5 linked regions of the Canis lupus familiaris genome follow. The protein of the gene in region 4 interacts with the protein of the main gene of each other region in a pairwise test. Links are inferred from orthologs where the notes say so. Each region holds a gene or a part of one and is shown on either strand. Other genes may lie near its edges.

The links.
Region 1: the proteins of FBF1 (region 4) and CINP interact in binary tests that used the Homo sapiens proteins (3 or more experiments, as listed by UniProt). The two-hybrid records come from large-scale screens. The link is inferred for Canis lupus familiaris from reciprocal best matches to the Homo sapiens genes FBF1 and CINP.
Region 2: the proteins of FBF1 (region 4) and ACCS interact in a two-hybrid assay, tested with the Homo sapiens proteins (2 studies listed by BioGRID and IntAct). The two-hybrid records come from large-scale screens. The link is inferred for Canis lupus familiaris from reciprocal best matches to the Homo sapiens genes FBF1 and ACCS.
Region 3: the proteins of FBF1 (region 4) and USHBP1 interact in binary tests that used the Homo sapiens proteins (3 or more experiments, as listed by UniProt). The two-hybrid records come from large-scale screens. The link is inferred for Canis lupus familiaris from reciprocal best matches to the Homo sapiens genes FBF1 and USHBP1.
Region 5: the proteins of FBF1 (region 4) and TUBGCP4 interact in a two-hybrid assay, tested with the Homo sapiens proteins (2 studies listed by BioGRID and IntAct). The two-hybrid records come from large-scale screens. The link is inferred for Canis lupus familiaris from reciprocal best matches to the Homo sapiens genes FBF1 and TUBGCP4.

What each region holds. Positions count from the first base shown.
Region 1 is NC_049229.1:70,716,478-70,719,996, reverse strand, and holds part of CINP (cyclin-dependent kinase 2-interacting protein), read left to right. Parts: intron 1-2,383; coding exon 2,384-2,513; intron 2,514-3,519. UniProt on the Homo sapiens protein: Component of the DNA replication complex, which interacts with two kinases, CDK2 and CDC7, thereby providing a functional and physical link between CDK2 and CDC7 during firing of the origins of replication.
Region 2 is NC_049239.1:45,585,496-45,589,014, reverse strand, and holds part of ACCS (1-aminocyclopropane-1-carboxylate synthase-like protein 1), read left to right. Parts: intron 1-526; coding exon 527-586; intron 587-3,126; coding exon 3,127-3,197; intron 3,198-3,519. UniProt on the Homo sapiens protein: Does not catalyze the synthesis of 1-aminocyclopropane-1-carboxylate but is capable of catalyzing the deamination of L-vinylglycine.
Region 3 is NC_049241.1:45,884,278-45,888,351, reverse strand, and holds the start of USHBP1 (Usher syndrome type-1C protein-binding protein 1), read right to left. Parts: upstream 2,801-4,074; 5' UTR 2,664-2,800; intron 2,383-2,663; exon of another isoform or gene 2,325-2,382; 5' UTR 2,251-2,324; coding exon 2,197-2,250; intron 2,100-2,196; coding exon 1,951-2,099; intron 1,738-1,950; coding exon 1,299-1,737; intron 1-1,298.
Region 4 is NC_049230.1:5,576,713-5,580,231, forward strand, and holds part of FBF1 (fas-binding factor 1), read left to right. Parts: coding exon 1-55; exon of another isoform or gene 56-211; coding exon 212-270; exon of another isoform or gene 271-1,057; coding exon 1,058-1,213; exon of another isoform or gene 1,214-1,329; coding exon 1,330-1,430; exon of another isoform or gene 1,431-1,557; coding exon 1,558-1,764; exon of another isoform or gene 1,765-2,467; coding exon 2,468-2,575; exon of another isoform or gene 2,576-2,660; coding exon 2,661-2,800; exon of another isoform or gene 2,801-2,886; coding exon 2,887-3,005; exon of another isoform or gene 3,006-3,519. UniProt on the Homo sapiens protein: Keratin-binding protein required for epithelial cell polarization. Involved in apical junction complex (AJC) assembly via its interaction with PARD3. Required for ciliogenesis.
Region 5 is NC_049251.1:10,523,687-10,527,205, reverse strand, and holds part of TUBGCP4 (gamma-tubulin complex component 4), read right to left. Parts: intron 2,105-3,519; coding exon 1,976-2,104; intron 1-1,975. UniProt on the Homo sapiens protein: Component of the gamma-tubulin ring complex (gTuRC) which mediates microtubule nucleation.

The sequences.
Region 1 (3,519 bases), on a different chromosome or scaffold from region 4:
CATTTTGCAGCTGCCCCTCACTTGGGAGCTGTCTGATGACTTTCTTCTGGTTTGGCAGGGGTTGTGGGTTTTTCAGGGAGACCACAGAGAAGAGATATCATCACATCCCGTCAAGGGCGTGGACTGTGACCCCGCCAGATCGCCATGAGTGTTAACCTTGACCACCTGGCTGAGGTGCTCCCCGGTTGCTCTGCAAAAGGAGCTCCTTTCCTGCTGTGCACACAGCCCACCCTGGAGGCATGGAAAGTTCTTCCCCACCTCCTTGGGGACAGAGCATGTACATAAATCCTGCCTCTCTTCCCCCACCTATTAGTTACTGGACCATTTGTTTCTAGCAGTATGGACTCATGGGTTGTTTTTTTTTTTTCCACTTTGGTTATAATATATTTATTTCTTTATTTTGTTCCTCAAATTGTTTCTGCTTTGGCCATAAAGAGTTCTGTTGGCTCCTCTGTCCCTTTGACATGCTTCCACCATTGTGAGTTTTTGGTTTGGGTGTTTGCGAACACTTCCTTACTTTCTAGCATTACGAGGTGCTCCAGGCCCATCCCATGTATTTCCTGCCTCCATCCTAGGATCAGCCATTTCTCCAAGGAGCCCCTGTTGCTCTTATTGGAGCATGGTTTTAGAAACCAAGATCCGAGTGCCAGCTGTCAGGCACTAAAATCCTCTGCTCTGGTGAATTTATTCTATTTTGAAGAGGTTTGGAAACAAGTTCTCATTCTATGTTCAAACCGAAAAGTTAATGTTATAAGGCTTTTTAATATCATTTTTCCTGTTCTCCAGCTTGTGGAGAGAGTGATTTCCCAGACTTGGCTTTGAATGTCTTTAATGAGTTTGACCTTGGCAGGAGGCTTTCACACACCCCTTTCCCTAATCTGGATGAACATTTTGCAGTTTGGTCGGTGGGAGGAGGTGTACTGAGGTTGAGCTGGGAGTGTGGGCAGGTTCATGTCCTGCAGGTTCGGGGCTGCTCACTGCATAACCTTTGTCTCTGTTGATGACCTGGGTCAGGCCTCCAGGATTTTTCTTACTCTCCTGATCATTTATAAGCTCTGCTTTGAATTAGGTGGCAAGAGGGAGCTGCTGCAGGATGCAAAGAACATAGGATGGTGCATCAAGAGACCTGGGGTCAGGAAACATGGTGGGGGTGCTGGCTTTGACCTTCCCTAGCTCAGCAGCCCTCAGGATCGTCCCAATTCTATTACAGAAATGCTGAGTCCTACTTCCTGGGATTGGGCCAAGCGATATAGCAAACCTAAAAAGATTGGGAAGAAGAGTGTAGTCCTTTAAAAATCAAGGTTAGTGGGACACCTGGGTGGCTCAGCAGTCTGCCTTTGGCTCAGAGCATGATGGAGTCCCCGGGATCGAGTCCCACATCAGGCTCCCTGCATGGAGCCTGCTTCTCTCTCTGCCTATATCTCTGCCTCTCTCTCTCTCTGTCTCTCATGAATAAATAAATAAAATCTTTTTTAAAAAAAAGTCAATGTTAGCTAAACTTATATCACTTCAGTATAATGGGAGAGTGGCTAAAGAACCAAGTGTAAGGAATTCAGATTTTGACAATTTATAGGTCTCTGTACTTACCCGTGTACCTAGGACTAAGTATACATAGGAGTTAGAATGTGGTCTTAGTAGGTCTGTGCTGCTTGAAACTGAAATCTTAGTCACTTCACCCCTTTTTTTAACAAACCCATCTATAGCTCCAACTAGGTACTTCAGAAATACTTGGTCTTCTTCACCACCACGTGAAAGGACACACTTTGTCAGAGCCTCTGCTGGCTCATCCGTGCAGTGGAGATGGTGCCCGGGTCCCCTGCAGTGGCCGGGCAGATGATGTGGTCAGTGGCTTCCCGTAGAGCACACCCACCGGAGCACCGTGGCCGTCAGCTCTCACCACTTCCCGTGTCAAGTATGTCAGGCTGCCTTTCATTACCACCGTTCTACAAATGAGGAAACTGAGCCTTCAAGGTTTCAGTAATCTCAGAGGCAGCTAATAAAAGTCAGAAATGAACTCATATAATATACCCTTTCTCTTCTCATTGCATAAAAGTGGAGCCTGCCTTGCGATTCCTCCGGGTTTTCGGTGCTAAAAAGTTAGTGCCTTCAGAAATCTTAGCGAAGTGGGAGTCGGCAAGCTTTTTCTTTCCAGTGCTGGAAATCCAGGGTTTATTTCTGAAGTAATCCAGATTAATGAAATTGTAGCAACTCTCTGCCTCCATCTCCCCAGAAATGTGCGGCGCACAGTTAACAGTGTTGAGTTATTGGACTTTGGGTCCCAACAGACTTCTACATCTTAGCTCCGAAATCTTAGAGTTATTGAATCTGAGACGGGAATGGATTTCAGATGAGGTTCTCATGTTCCCAATTAATCTCTTTCCAGGCCAAAATCCAGATGAAAATGGAAAAGCTGTCTTCGACCACCAAGGGGGTTTGTGAGCTAGAGGACTACCATTACAGGGACGGGAGGCATCGCCCTCCCCTGTTTCACACGTGGCCCACAGCCTATTTCTGTAAGTAGTTCTCTCCTCGTTGATTCTCAGGAGTAGAAATCATGAGGGCATTTGTGTTCTTTAGATCTTGATGAAGCTGACAGGCTTTGAAATTCAATTTGAGGGATGCCTGGGTGGCTCAGCAGTTGAGCGTCTGCCTTTGGCTCAGGGCGTGATCCCGCAGTCCTGGGATCGAGTCCCACGTCGGGCTCCCTTCATGGAGCCTGCTTCTCCCTCTGCCTGTGTCTCTGCCTCTCTCTCTGTGTCTCTCATGAATAAACAAACAAAATCTTAAAAAAAAAAAGAAAAGAAAAAAGAAATTCAATTTGAGAGGACCCACTGGAAGGGAAGGAGATTGAGGGGCATCCTAGAATAGGCATTTCTTCTTGGCTCTAATAATTACCAAAGAATATTAAACATAATTACAGACATGGGAAGCAAGGTGCCTTTATTGCCCCTTTAAAACCAAGTGGTCGGGGTTGGGGACACGAGGTGCAGCCCCTCAGTGGCTGAGTCTGTAAAGTGCCTACCTTCAGCTCAGGTCGTGATCTTGGGGTCCTGGGATGGAGCCCCGTGTTGGGCTCCCCACTGAGCAGGGAGCCTGCTTCTCCGCTACCCCTCCCTCAGCTTATGCACTTTCTTTCTCTGTGTCAAATAAATAAATAAATAAACAAACAAACAAACAAATAAATAAAGATTAATCTTAAAAAACACACACACAAACAAACACCAGGTGGTTGGGGCACCTGGGCTGGACCCAGTCCATAGAGCCAGTGACTCTTGATCTTGGGGTCATGAGTTCAAGCCCCACAGTGGCCACAGAGATTACCTAATAAAAAAATAATAATAATAACCTTTAAAGAAAAAAAAAGAAAAAAAACAAGGGTACAATGAATTCCACATCCTCTACAGAGGCAGAATTCTTTTTTCTTTTATAGAAAGATGGGTTTTGGGGTGCCTGGGTTCCCCAAAACCCATCTTGGGTTCAATTGCTGAAGCATCCAACTTTTTTTTTTTTTTAAGATTT
Region 2 (3,519 bases), on a different chromosome or scaffold from region 4:
GTGGTTGCCCGGGGTCTCCCATGGGAGCCCTTCTTGGCTGACAGGTATCCCTGTTTCTGTTCTACTGCAGAAGGTACTGCAGCACTGCTTTACTTTGTACATTCTCTTGTACTGTAAACATGTATCTTCTTGCGAGATACAGTGGTGTCTCAGGCATGCATCCAGCCTTCAGGGATCTGATCATCCAGTGGGGGAGATAAAGCATGTACATTGGTCCCTGTGACCTGGAAGCAGAGACTAAGTGGGGTGCTCTAAAGGGCAACAGATCAAGAGCTTTGGGTTCCAGAAGAAGAAAAGATGTACCTTTCTAGGCCGGGTTCTGGGGAGGCTTCCTGGAGGAGATGGCATTAATAGAGCTTTAGAAATGTGAAGATGGGACCAGGGAGCTGAGTGGAGGTGGGACAAGGAAGGGTGTTTGGAGGGGCAGGATTACTCCCTCTTTGCTTTCCTGACTCAGTGTGCTCCTCGGGCCATCCTTTGGGACCCCTGGGCTGTGCTCACCCTGCCTCCGTCTCTCTGTCTCCAGGGCATCATTAACTTGGGCACCAGTGAGAATAAACTCTGCTTTGACCTGTTATCCAGACGGGTAAGTCCTAGTGGCATCAGCAGCTCCCAGGGACTGTCTTTTCTTGGATTTCCCTGGAACACTTCCCTGATAAGAGCCTGCTGCTTGCCTCAGCAGCCCTGGCCTGAGCCAGGAGACCCAGGTTCCAGGTCCGTCTCAGGGACAACCTCTGTGATCTTGGGTGAGTCACTTCCCTATTTGGATCCTGCTTCTTTTTTTTTTTTATTTTTTTTATTTATGATAGTCACCCAGAGAGAGAGAGAGAGAGGCAGAGACACAGGCAGAGGGAGAAGCAGGCTCCATGCAGCGAGCCTGACGTGGGATTCGACCCCGGGTCTCCAGGATCGTGCCCTGGGCCAAAGGCAGGCGCCAAACCGCTGCGCCACCCAGGGATCCCTGGATCCTGCTTCTTCACCTCTTCCCCACACTCAGTCCCTCCCGCTGCTGGCTGGGTCCTGCTCTCATGGGGTGGGGGTGGGATAGGGAGCATTCAGTGGGGTGTGATCAGTATTTAACAACTGGCTCTGGGGTAGGGAGGACTCTGATTTGTCGCTTTTGCCAATTCCCATAGTGTAAATACCTCCACTGTGGCTGATTTCAAGCCACGGGTATGACCTCTCTGCACACAAAGTTGGGAAAAAAGGGGTTGTGGCACCCATTATGTAGTATCCCCACCATCTAGACACAAAGATGGAAATAACCTCAAGAGCACATGTAGGAATGTAGTGACATAATCAGAAGTAGTGATGTTTTAGTTATTACCTTCGTTTATTACTGGTGTTTTTTAATGCAGTGTACTTATTTGTACATTTATACAGTTTAATTAAAAAAATTTTTTTAGCATAGCCTGTAAAATTCCTGGAAACTTACTAAGTAGATTTCTTGAGCTGGTGTGAGCCATCTCTAGCAAACCACTAAATATGCCTGATAAATGTGTTTTCCAAGGCCACGGACTCAGAGTCTGGGCTTGTGGTGGGAGTGACGGCTGACCCAAAGGAACTTATTTCCAAGGGAGACAAATCTAAGACCTAAGGGGAGAGGCATATAGGGAGGGGGCTCAAAAGGCATGGTCTACCTACCAGTTCCCTGCTGCACTGACCCACAGAAGTAAAATGTGAGCCACATATATAATTTAAAATATCCTGTTAGATAAGTAAAAAGAAACTGGTAAATTCATCTGAGGAATATATTTTATTTAGCCTAATATATCCAAAATAGGACCATTTCAACATGTAATCAATGTAAAAAATTGGCATATTTTACGTAGTTTTCATATCAAGTCTTTAAAATCCAGTGAGTTGGCTCAGTTCAGGCAAGCCACACTCCAAGTGCTCAGCAGACACGCATGGCTAGCGGCCTTCGACTAGACAGGGCAGCTCTATGGGCAGAAGGGGAGGGGGAGAAGGCTGGAGTTGTGTCCAAGTGGCTGATTGCCTTTCTTCCTTTGGTTCCCTTCTCAAGACTTCTGGCTTTCCTTGGCACTGTGTGTGCGATGCTCTGGGAGTTACCCAGCATCAGGTCAGGGTGGGGATGGTGTCGAAACAGCTGTATTTTTTAAAGATTTTATTTATTTATTCATGAGAGAGAGAGAGAGAGAGAGAGGCAGAGACACAGGCAGAGGAGAAGGAGTTCTCCATTCTGGGGACCCGATGTGGGACTTGATCCTGGGTTTCCAAGATCACGCCTTGGGCTGAAGGCAGTGCTAAACTGCTGAGCCACCCAGGCTGCTGCAACAGTTGCATTAAAAAAAAAAATTAAAAATATTTTATTTATTTATTCATGAGAGAGAGAGAGAGAGAGAGAAAGAGAGGCAGAGACACAGGCAGAGGGAGAAGGAGTTCTCCATGCTGGGGACCCGATGTGGGACTTGATCCTGGGTTTCCAAGATCACGCCTTGGGCTGAAGGCGGTGCTAAACTGCTGAGCCACCCAGGCTGCTGAAACAGTTGCATTAAAAAAAAATTAAAAATATTTTATTTATTTATTCATGAGAGAGAGAGAAAGAGAGGCAGAGACACAGGCAGAGGGAGAAGGAGTCCTCCATGCTGGGGACCCGATGTGGGACTTGATCCTGGGTCTCCAAGATCACACCCTGAGCTGAAGGCTGATGCTCAACCACTGAGCCACCCAGGCATCCCAAAATGGCCACATTTTCCAAAGCATAGGGTTGAACTGAGCCAGGAACACAATGGCCTGAATCCCTCCAGAAGTTGGAGCCAACACTGAGGGGATGGCACCCAATGCTAGGACCCCTTGTGTCACCCCAACGAGAAGCCGAGTAGCATGGTCTATCACTGCCTCTACAAATCCACCCCTCTGGGTTTTTAATTTTTTAAATATATATGTTTGTATATTCATTCATTCATTCATTCATTCATGCAAGCACAAACATATGAGCAAGGGAAGGGACAGAGGGAGAGGGAGAGAGAGAATCCCAAGCAGACTCTCCCAAGCAGCCCCACAAGGAGCTCAGTCAGGTGCTCGATCTCATGACCCTGAGATCATGACCAGAGCAGAAATCGAGAGTCAGATACTCAGCCCCACTCTTCCCTCTGTCCCTAGCTGAGTCAGAGTGACATGCTGCGGGTGGAGCCATCATTGCTGCAGTACCCTGACTGGAGGGGACATCTGTTGTAAGTAGTTGCCATGGGCCAGTGGTTCTCAGCCCAGGGTGGTTTTGCTCCCCAGGGGACATAGGGCACCTGGGAACACTTATGGTTATCGTAACTGGGAAGGAGGTATTATTGGCATTTCCTGGGTAGAGGCCGGTGATGCTGCAAAACCTCCTACGATGCCCAGGAAAGCCCCCACAACAAATAATGACCCTGCCCCAGATGTGAATATGGCAGGTAGAGAAAGCCTGCTTGAGGCTGAGGGCCTGTCCTGGAGACCTGGCAGTCGTGGGGTCTCCTGGAGCATCTGCAGGGAGAGAGCGTGTGGTCGTCTCACCCAGCT
Region 3 (4,074 bases), on a different chromosome or scaffold from region 4:
ACTTATATTTGGGATCTAAGATAAAACAAAACGAAAAATTGAACTCACAGTTATAGAGAACAGAGTGGTGGGTGCCAGAGGCAGTGGGGGTGAGGAGAGGAATGTGGGTGGGGGTGAGGAGAGGAATGTGGAGCGGGGATCATCTTTCCCAGCCAGGAAGTGGGCCCCACCCCTTAGGCTGGGCTCTGGTGGCCCCATATCTTGCCACCTTGGCCTGCCCAAGATGAGGGCCTGTTCCCCCATCTCCTTCAGCCACATGGCTTTAGATTCCATCCACATGTTAAAGAGGTCGGGATGTGTTTCTCTTGTCCTGACATCTCCCCTGAGCTCTGGATTCTGACCCCACAACTGTGTCTTTGATGGTCCTACATGGGTGGCTCAGGGGTTTCTTGAACTCATTAGGGTCCCAACAGCTCCTGGTCCTGCATTTCTGGCTCCCAGTCCCGCAGGCCCCCAAACCAGGACTTGTCCTCAACCCTTCTCTGGCTTTCACACCCAAACCTGCCAGCTCCACCTTCGACACCACCCAGAATCTGCCCACTTTGTGCCACCTCCACAGTTTCCACCATCTGGTGTCTGGACCAGTGCCTCGCGGATCCGCCGGCTGTTCCTCCCATGCCTACCAGAGGGCGCCTGTGACCGCGGCACCAGGTCCCGCCCCTTTCTGCCGCGGGAGGGCGAGGGTGGGGGGGCGAGGGGGAACCCCCCAGGAGCCCACCAGGCTCAGGGCCAAAGCCCAACTCCCAGAAGCCCACAGACCGTGTAAATCTGCCCCCATCACTAACCTGCCCTCCCCTCACCCCCACACTGGCTTGCTCACTGTTCCCTGACTCACACTCCCACCTCTGGAAGGGAGCTCCTTCTCCGCCTGGCATGCTCTTTCCCCAGATCCTTGCATGGCTCCTCCCTTACCTCCTGGCTCAAGTGTCACCTCCTCAAGGGGCATCTCTGACCACCTTATCTAAGAAGGCAAGGCACCTTTGTTCAGGGCTCTGCAGCAGTCAACGCTCCATAAAAGTTTTTCTCTTTCTTTTTTTAGATTTTATTTATTTATTCAGAGGAGACACAGAGAGAGAGGCAGGCTCCCTGTGGGGAACCTGATGTGGGACTCGATCTCAGGACCCTGGGATCATGACCTGAGTCAAAGGCTCAACTCAAGTCAACCACTGAGCCACCCAGGCGTCCCTCCGTAAGAGTTTTTCTAATGAACAAACAATGGAAGGTTGCCTATGCCAGGCCCGCCTCCCCCTTAGACAGAGAACCCTCAGAGGTAGAGCACAATACGTCGAGACCCTCACCTCTCTCTGCAGCATCTCCTTCTCCCCCTGGATGGCCTGCAGGGAGGCCTGCGTGCGAATCAGCTCCTCCTCTCGGCTGCCCAAGGCCAATCGTAGCCAGTCATTCCTCTCTGCCAGGCTGGCTGCCTCCCTCTGGCAACCACTTGCCCCCTCCTGCTCCAAGCAGGGCCTTGGTCCCACCTCACTTCTGTCCTCTGCCTCCCCGGGCCCAGGACAGCTGGGGGGCCGGCGGCGCCAGGCAGCCGCCGCCGCCTCCAGGGAGCTCAGAGCATGCTGGAGAACCTGAAACACGTCAGAGGCTTCAGGCCTGGGGGGGACAGTCTCCCCATCCTGTGGAGCTACATCTCTGGCCTGGTGGCCTTCCTCTGCAGGCTTGCGGGGTCCCTCGGGAGATGGGGCCAGTCCTCTGCTAGAGTCCCCCTCAGCCTCTTTGTTGGTCCTGTGGTGAAGTGAGAGACAGAAGGTTCTGGAAATGGGGTCATCTGGGGTGGCTGGCTCACAGAGGGTGCATTATCCGGGGCCTTGAAAGTTGGGCAAGGAGGGCAGTGGGAAGCTACGGCGTGTGTGTGAGCAAGGGAGGAACACAGGTAGATCTGTGGGGAGGAAAGACACACCAGGGCCGGAGTGGGAGCCCAGACGGAGGGGACCTTACCTGTTCCCAAGGCCCTGCCCACTGGCCTCTGCCTCTGGCCCCTGCAGCCTCGGCTCGCAGCTCTCCTGAGATGGCACAGGGCCCAGCTCAGAGCTCCCGCTGGCTGCCTCAGCCTCCTCTGAACTCTCCGCCACGGGATCCAGCTCCCCCTGAAAATGACCCACAGGGCCAAGCTCCGAGCCAGGCCGGGGGCGAGGGGGTGAGTGACCCCAAAGAGCTGGATGCGGCAGGGAAGGGGGCACTTACAGGTGGCGCGTGCCTCCCTCGCCGGCTTCGGGGTCGCGTGGCCCGGGCACTCATTGCTGTCCAGAATTCAGTCCTCTGATTCTTTTTCCGAAAGCCGCAGCCTGATCTCGGCTCTTGTCTTTGTTGGTCTGGGCGAATGACAGCCTTAATACCTTCTTCTATGAAATGAGCATCGATCTCCTCCCGCTGGGAGGGATCTTGAATTACCAGTGTTGAGCTGGCACATTTGAATACCCCTCCTGACAGGCAGCTCACTACCTCACAAGTTTGTTCCCACCTCCCCTTGTCTTTTGCCTCCTTTATCTTTCACTACCTCTGTGCTCCCCTCGGTCCCCAATCTGGACCTGGCTCGAGGACTTCAAGAATCACCTCTCCTCCCCAGGGTCCTCTTGAGTCGGAGGCCCCAATCTTGGGGTTGGGTCCCCTCAGCCTGCTCTAATGCTACTCCTCTGTACCTCTAGGAATACCTTGGTCAGCAGCCCAAATCCCTGGACACTCTTGGGGTAGCTCTGGCCACTGCTTGCTTAGGCCCCGGGCTGGCCAAGGCTGGCTTGGGAGAGGCCGGGAAACAGGAAGCCCCCTCCCCTGGTCATGTGACTTGTTATTGTGCTATTTCCTCCTCAAGGACATCAGCTTCCTCCAGTCCCGGTGGGACACACATGTCCAGCTCCTGACCTGTCGGTCCTTCCTTGCCCCAGCCTCCAATCTCATGTCTCTTCCGCCTCTGAGCCTCAGTTTCCTTATCTGTAAAATGGGGGGGGGGGGCTTTAATTATAGGATCTGTCTACAGTGTCATGGGAATTTTAACAAGCAACTTGCACATGACTGAGCACCATCCAAGAACTGAATTGTAACACACCACTCTTGTTCGCTGCCTCTCCGGCCCTCCCATCTCTGCTTCCTCTGCCAGCTGCTGCTTCTCCTGGATTCCTCAGGGCACAGATCGCCCCTACATCCTGCCCATTTTTCCTGCATCCATCTCTAAAGGGCCTCGTCATCTCCCTCCATAACAGCCCAACCCTCTCCCCTCTACCGGGATGCCAGCCCCTCTCTCTCCGTGGACTCTACAGCCACCCACCCCTTGACTCCCTTCCCCTCCCAGGCCCCAGAGACAGAGACCTCATTGTTCACCTCTTCTGCTCACACACCCTCCATGACTCCCCATTGCCCTTGGGAAACATTTCAAGCTCTTCTACCCGGCATTCGAGGCCCTTAAAAATAATGCCTGCTGTCTGCACCCATGTATACTCCATGCTTTAGCCATGATGACCCCTCTGTGAACAGGTGAAGGTTCACAATTCTCACATCCCAGGGCCTTTGGTTATGCTGTAACCCTTTCCTTGTTTCTGCACTTGGCTTATTTTTTATTTATTATTTTTTAAAGATTTTATTTATTCATGAGAGACACAGAGAGAGGCAGAGACATAGGCAGAGGGAGAAGCAGGCTCCCTGCCGGGAGCCCGAAGCAGGACTCAATCCCAGGATCCCTCGGGATCAGGACCTGAGCTGAAGGCAGCCGCTCAACCACTGAACCTCCCAGGTGCCCCTACACTTGGTTTAAACTGCGCAGAGCCTGGAGTAGCCTGAATCTTCCTCATTCCGCTGACAGACAGAGGAGGCTGAGTCTTCCTGCTTCTGCGTCCCCAAAACTGGTAAGGAAATAAGTTGCAATTCTCTGACTTGGGGGCACCCAGGCACATTGAAATCTACACTCTTAGCCTCTGCTCCAGCCATTTTTTTAAAAAAAGATTTTATTTATTTATTCATGAGAGACACAGAGGCAGAAACAAGGCGGAGGGAGAAGTAGGCTCCCCGCGGAGAGCCTGATGTGAAACTTGATCCCAGCATCCTGGGACCACCACCTGAGCTGAAGGCAGA
Region 4 (3,519 bases):
CTCCCTGTAGGTGACCCAAAGAAGGGAACAGCCCTTGGAGACCTCTCCAGTGCTGGTTTGTTTCCTACTTTGTTTGATGCTTTACCTCTGGGTGGGGAAGAGGCACTTTGAGCTTCCTTTGGGGTCCTGGAAGGTGAGTAGAGCTGGACTCCCAAACACACAAGAGATGCTCTTCAGGCCTCCTGCTCATTTCTCTGTCGTTGATTTTCAGAGCCTGCAGCTGGTCTCCCGAGGTCCCAGGAGCCCACAGGGCCTTCTCTGCCCGCCCAGGTAGGCAGGGTGGACAGACAGGAATGGGCCTCAGGCCCATGGAGCAAATCTCCCGTGCTCAGAGGCAACAGCTGTAGTTTGAGCCAATAGCCTACGGGGAGTCATGTGTCAGGATAGACAGCACCTCCCCCAGCACTTCCCTCAACTTCTAGCCTTGCCATTCTCGGGCAGAGTCATAGTAATTTATCAACTCTGGGAGGGAATTAGAGGTGGCATCCACAGGGGAGGTTGGGGAGCATGGAGCAAGGAATGGTCAGAAAGTAGGGCTGCAGATGTCCCGTCGTCTGTCTAGAAAGCTGCCTCCATACTTGCTGTCTGCTGTTTGCCAGCTGTGGATGGCAGCCAGTCACGCCTGAGCCCAGCAGTGAGGAGGCCACAGAGACATATCCCCAGGAACCCAGAAGCACCTTTGGAGGTGGTAGGGGGTGGGCAACCTGCAGGAAGAAGAGTAGCACCCAACATTTGGTCTGGAGGCCTGGCAGGAGGACACTACTGTCACAGCTGAGATGCTGCTGGGGCCCTGCGGCTGGTCCAGGGATCTGGAACACCTGCTGGGAAGATGTTCTGAGGGGGGAGCGGAGACTCATTCTAACCAGACTCAGTGGGGAGGTACAACAGTTGCATGACTCCAAGGCCTCGTCCTTGGCCTCTTGGTGTCACATCTCTGTCCCCATCTGCAGCCACAGGTCAAGTGCAGGGCCTGGGAGGTCCAGTGAGCTAAGGGCCAAAGGTAGCTGAGCTTCGCTGAGTCCCTGTCCCCTGGAACATCTCCCACCCTCTCCTGCAGCCTCTGCTCCCGGAGGCCCTGGTGCAGAGCCTGTTGCCAGGCACAGAATACCAGAGACAGCTCCTGGCCGCACAGGTGCAGCTTCAGAGTGGCACTACTGAGCTCCAGGCTGACCTTCTGCAGAGTCAGGCCCAGCTGGCAGAGCTGGAGGCCCAGGTGAAGGGGCAGAGGAGCCCCGGGCTGGGGGGCAAAGCTGAGACGGGAAGGTCTCCCTCTGAGGGCCCGAAGGCTTCCCCAGGGAGCCCCCCTTGCCACCCTCCCACCGTCTCCAGGTGCGGAAGCTGGAGCTAGAGCGGGCACAGCACCAGCTGCTGCTGGAGAGTTTGCAGCAGCGGCACCAGGCTGACCTAGAGCTCATCGAGAGTGCTCACAGGTACCCCCCCAACTCCTCCCATCTGGGTTTCCCAAGCCTCAGGGCCTGCCCTAGCCAACGTGCTCCGAGAGGCTCTTTAGGTATCTCACCTCACCCTCTGAGCCCTACGACTGTGTTTTGTTGGCAGAAGCCGAATAAAGGTGCTAGAAACATCGTACCAGCAACGGGAAGAGCGGCTACGGAGGGAGCATGAGGAGCTGTCGGCCCGGTATCTGTCTCACTGCCAAGAAGCTGAGCAAGCCCACGCCGAGCTCACAGCCCAGCACCAGCGTCGCTTGGCGGCTGCCATGCAAGAGAAGGACCAGGAGATGGAGCGGCTTCGGGAGCTGCAGCGGTGAGGGCGAGGCCCAGGGCAGGCAGGCAGGGGGAGCTGGTTTGGAGGATGGCCAGAGGAAGTCCGTTTCCTGGAGACCCCCCAAGCCGTGGCTCAGCAACTGAAGCGTGACCCCTTCCCTTCCATGTGAGGACCAAGGCCAAGCACACTAACCCACCCACCCCCCTTTGAGTGGAGGGCCCATACTCCTCCAACAGCAGGGCAGAGGTCCCTGGCTGTTTAGGTTAATCCCGGCATCTCAAGGACCTAACTCAACACAGGTCAAGTCCTTCACCCACTGACGCACTCCAGTCTAGTGACTAGATCGACCTTGGAAAGGGTTTGCACTTTTGCGCTTGGTGTGTCCATCTGGTTGCCTTTCTAGATGAGAATGGAACTAAGAACAGGTACATAAGGGAGCCAGTCGATGTGTGCAGAGCAGATTTTTTTAACACTTCCCGGACTGGCCAGACAGAAGAGGCTGTCCACACACCCGTCTTTCCTACTGTGTAAAGCATCCTTTGCTAAATAACAGAAGGAGTCTCCCCGTTAGAGTGGATGTGACATTGAGGCCCCAAGACACATAGGATGAGGAGCCAAAGAAGCAGAGGCAGTGCCTGGAGGAGAGGAGGAGGAGGAGGAGAGACGCCAGGAGCGCTGATGGCTGAGCCCTCTGCCGCGGCTCTGCGCACATGCTCACTGCGCCACCCCCCACTGCTCTCAGGGCCTCCATCCTGGAGATGCGCAAGGACCACGAGGAGCAGCTGCAGCGGATGAAGCTGCTGAAGGACCGCGAGATCGACGCGGTCACCAGCGCCACCTCCCACACGCGGTATGTGCAGCATCCAGGCCCTGCCCACCCGAGGGGCAGACCCATGGCCCGGGGCCAGGCTGACCCAGTACCCGCACCCACCCAGATCCCTGAACGGCATCATCGAGCAGATGGAGAAGTTCTCCAGCAGCCTGCACGAGCTGTCCTCCCGCGTGGAGGCCTCGCACCTCACCACCACCCAGGAACGGGAGCTCGGGCTCCGGCAACATGACCAGCAGCTCCGAGGTACCGGGTGGGCCCCAGGTCCTGCCCCTGCACCCCCATCGCACTAGAACAGTGGGTGGGTGCTGAGTGCCCCATGGCCCCCCCAGCGCTGCAGGAGAGGCTGGGCCAGCAGCAGCGGGACATGGAGGAGGAGCGGAGCCGGCTCCAGGAGGTCATCGGGAAGATGGAGGCGCGCCTGAACGAGCAAAGCCGGCTACTGGAGCAGGTGGGCCATCCTCCTGCCGGCAGGGCCTGTCTCCCCAGCACCCCAGGGGTGCCGCCAGGGCTCTCCTTCCCACGCGTTCTCCCCACCTTGCCCGGGTCCGTCACATTCATCCATCCACCGAAGCCGATGTCTGCTGAGCTCTAAGAGCTGCACGTTTGAAGTCCTGCATATCTTTTGTATAGAAGAGCAAGCTCCATTCTCTAAAAAAGTCATTCCTTTTCTTTCCTTTGTACTAGATTATAACGTGATACATTATATTGAAAAAATTAAAATATGATTAGCAACAAAGGAGCAAATTAAAATTACCCACTAGCCAGAGATAGCCACTGGGGACCTCCCATCCCTCCCATAGACATACTGACCTGGTGTGTTTGTTTCGTGAACCATACGTATTCAGTTATTTGGTAACTATTAAGGCCCCTGTCTCGGGCCATGCTTGTGTGTCCCCTAGTCCCCTGGCATACACCGTGTCACACCTGCCCTGGCACACTTGCCTGCTTGGTGGATGGGAGAC
Region 5 (3,519 bases), on a different chromosome or scaffold from region 4:
AAGGGCCTCTTCTGTATTTTACACAGGGAATGGCAGAGGAAGCTGACTATAGGCTATGATGACCAGCCTCTCTAGCTAGGTACTGACTTGGGTGATCAGGCTCTGTTGGCAGTAGATACAATCACAGAATTCTACAACAAATGGGGTAGGAAACTTGGACTCTGGGGTTATGAGGCACAGTGTAGTCAGATGATGTTGCAAAAGATACTAGCAGTTCCTGAAGATAAAGGTTCACAGCTATAATAAGACTGGCATGGTTATAGGGTGAAACAGACCAGATGGGCGTACAACCAGCCAATTTTGTTTTGATCCTGTGTCATTCCAGAGAACTGAATGTCTTCATTTATCACTAAATGAAAGAGAAATTAAGTATGCTTTTTACTGTTCCAAAAAAAGAGGCACTATAGATATCTTTAGAATTTGGGAAAGCAGGAATTCACATATTATATAAGATAAAATCCATATAGTCACAGGAATACAGGACAGGTTTTTTTCTTTTAAGTGTTACTTGTAAAAATTAAAACTAAAGGCCTTCTCATCTACATAAATATATATATGGGTTGTAACTCTGATAATTCATGTGCCCTCATTAATATGATTTTATAGCAAAATGGCATTGATTAGATTTTAAGCTCACATTTAGCTTATATATTTGCAATAAAATCTTTTTGAGAGAATCTGAATCCCTGTCCCAGAGATGAAAATATAAGGTATTATTCTCCAAAAACTCTGCCCCATAGATGTCCATCCACCAAAAGTCTGACAACCAACTTATAAAACAGAAAGTACTGACTGCATTATTTCAGGAATCCTTCCTTTCTCTTTCTAGAAGTCCCTGCCTTTCTCCTCAACCAGAATCAACTGGGCAACAGTCATACTGAATCAGAGTTACACAATTCAGTAATCTTTTTACTTACCATGGACAGAATTACAGACTGTTAAAAATAAAAGGGAACTTTAAAATTTCTCTTTAAAGAAATGAGTGCTTACTATGTGCCAGGCACTTTGCATGAATTACCTTGTTTAATCTTTACAACCCTATGAGATAGGTTCCACCTATTATCCTATTTTATGGATAAGTGAACTGAGCCGTAGTTACTAAGCATTAGGTTACTGCCAAGCAGTCTATGGCTAGTAAGTGATAGAGCAGGACACAAAACCTTGACCTCTACACCATTAATCACAATTAATAGTGTACACTTCCAATTAATTCATATTAATGATAATATTTATTAAGTGCTTACTATGTGCCAAGCACTTTCTCTGATTTAACTCTTTCATTTTCTTTTTCTTTTTTTTAATTTATTTTTTATTGGTGTTCAATTTACCAACATACAGAATAACCCCCAGTGCCCGTCACCCATTCACTCCCACCCCCCCGCCCTCCTCCCCTTCTACCACCCCTAGTTCGTTTCCGAGTTAGCAGTCTTTACATTCTGTCTCCCTTTCTGATATTTCCCACACATTTCTTCTCCCTTCCCTTATATTCCCTTTCACTATTATTTATATTCCCCAAATGAATGAGAACATATAATGTTTGTCCTTCTCCAACTGACTTACTTCACTCAGCAACTCTTTCATTTTCAAATAAGAAAAATGAAGCCCAAAGACTTTAGTTGATTGTGTCCATGTGACTAAGGAAGTTAGAAGCAAAATGGGCAAAAAAGATCTGAAATGATGCACTGTGCTTTTACTGGAATTGGAACTCTGGTCCAGCTCAAACTGATTTAACTCAGGTCTCCTAAAACTCAGGCAAAGCATATTTTCTCTTATACAAACTTGCCTAAATTGGTCCCTGTGTATATCTTCTTTGTTTGAGCTAGACAGTTATCTGGCCCTCACTTGAGTAATTCCAATGATGAGAAATTCATAACACCTTGAGACTTATTTCATATCAATTACCAGTGGATTCACTCAAAACTTGACATGGCTCCTGACCTCTGGAGGTGTCCATTCCCTGGGAACAGCAGCCTACCTGTTGCTGCACATGGCCCGTGTACTGTTCAATGAACTCAGTGAAGCGAATATAGTCTGTGCCCAGCCGGCAGAGTCGGTTCAAGACACTGGTTTCACTTGGATGGAGAAATGGGAAGTCCTGTGACACCTGTAGGAAGAGGAACAGGCTAAAAACACTGATGCCTGCATATCTTTGATGTGCTTCAAATGCTTCATACTATGAATCACTTTCCTTCTCCAGATGCCCATTTAAGCTTGGTAAATTCCAAACTGCTACAAAGGTGTTGTTCTCCATCCTTGATCTAATTAATTGTTTACTGAAATAGGTGGTAGCACATGGTAAAGAATTCAAATACTACCAAATGTTGTAGATTAAAAATAAGTCGACCTCCCCACAGGTAGCTACTATTATTTGTTTCTTATGCAATCTTCCAGGGATGGCCTATAAGGATATGGGGATTTGTTTGTTATAAGATTTTATTTGACGGGATGCCTGGGTGGCTCAGCGGTTGAGCATCTGTCTTCTGCCCAGGGGGTGACCTTGGAGTCCCAGGATCGAGTCCCACATCGGGCCCCCTGCATGGAGCCTGCTTCTCCCTCTGCCTGTGTCTCTGCCTCTCTCTTTCTGTGTCTCTCATGAATAAATAAATATTTTTAAAAAAGATTTTGAGAGAGAGAGAGAGAGACTGAATGAGCAGCAGAAAGAGGGCAGAGGGAAAAGCAGACTCCCTGCTAAGCAGAAAGCTTGATCTCAGGACCCTGGGATCATGACTAGAGCCAAAGGCATATGCACTCAACCAACTGAGCCATCCACGCACCCCAGGTATATGGAGATTTTGATTTTAACAATGTCTCTTTAGTGATACTGCTCAAACCAAGATCTGTAGACTCCAGGGGTTTCGCAGACATATTCTTTTTTTTTTTTTTAATTTTTATTTATTTATGATAGTCACAGAGAGAGAGAGAGAGAGAGAGAGGCAGAGACACAGGCAGAGGGAGAAGCAGGCTCCATGCACCGGGAGCCCGACGTGGGATTCGATCCCGGGTCTCCAGGATCGCGCCCTGGGCCAAAAGCAGGCGCCAAACCGCTGAGCCACCCAGGGATCCCTCTCAGACATATTCTTAAGATTAACAAATTCTCTATAAGTTTTTAAAATTTATTTTCATTTAAAAAATAAAATTAATGTAACATACTATAATCTATAAAAGGACCATACCTGGACATATAAACATAGTGCCTATATTTTCATTTGTATTTGGTATTTCATTTCACTGGGTATTATCTTAATTGAAATGAATGCCAAACAATAACCTACTATACTTTATAAAGGTTTCATAGCAGTTCAAGTAGAAAAAGGTTGTAGGAGAGTGTATTCATTCAACCAAAATTTTTTTTATATTGTGGTAAGATACATGTAACATAAAAGTTACCATTTTAGCCATCTTTATATGTACAGTTCTGTCTGTGGCATTAAGTGCATTTTAACACTGTTGTGCATCCATCACCACCATCCATCTCCAGAGCTTTTTTATCTTCCCAAACTGAAACTCTGTATCCATTTA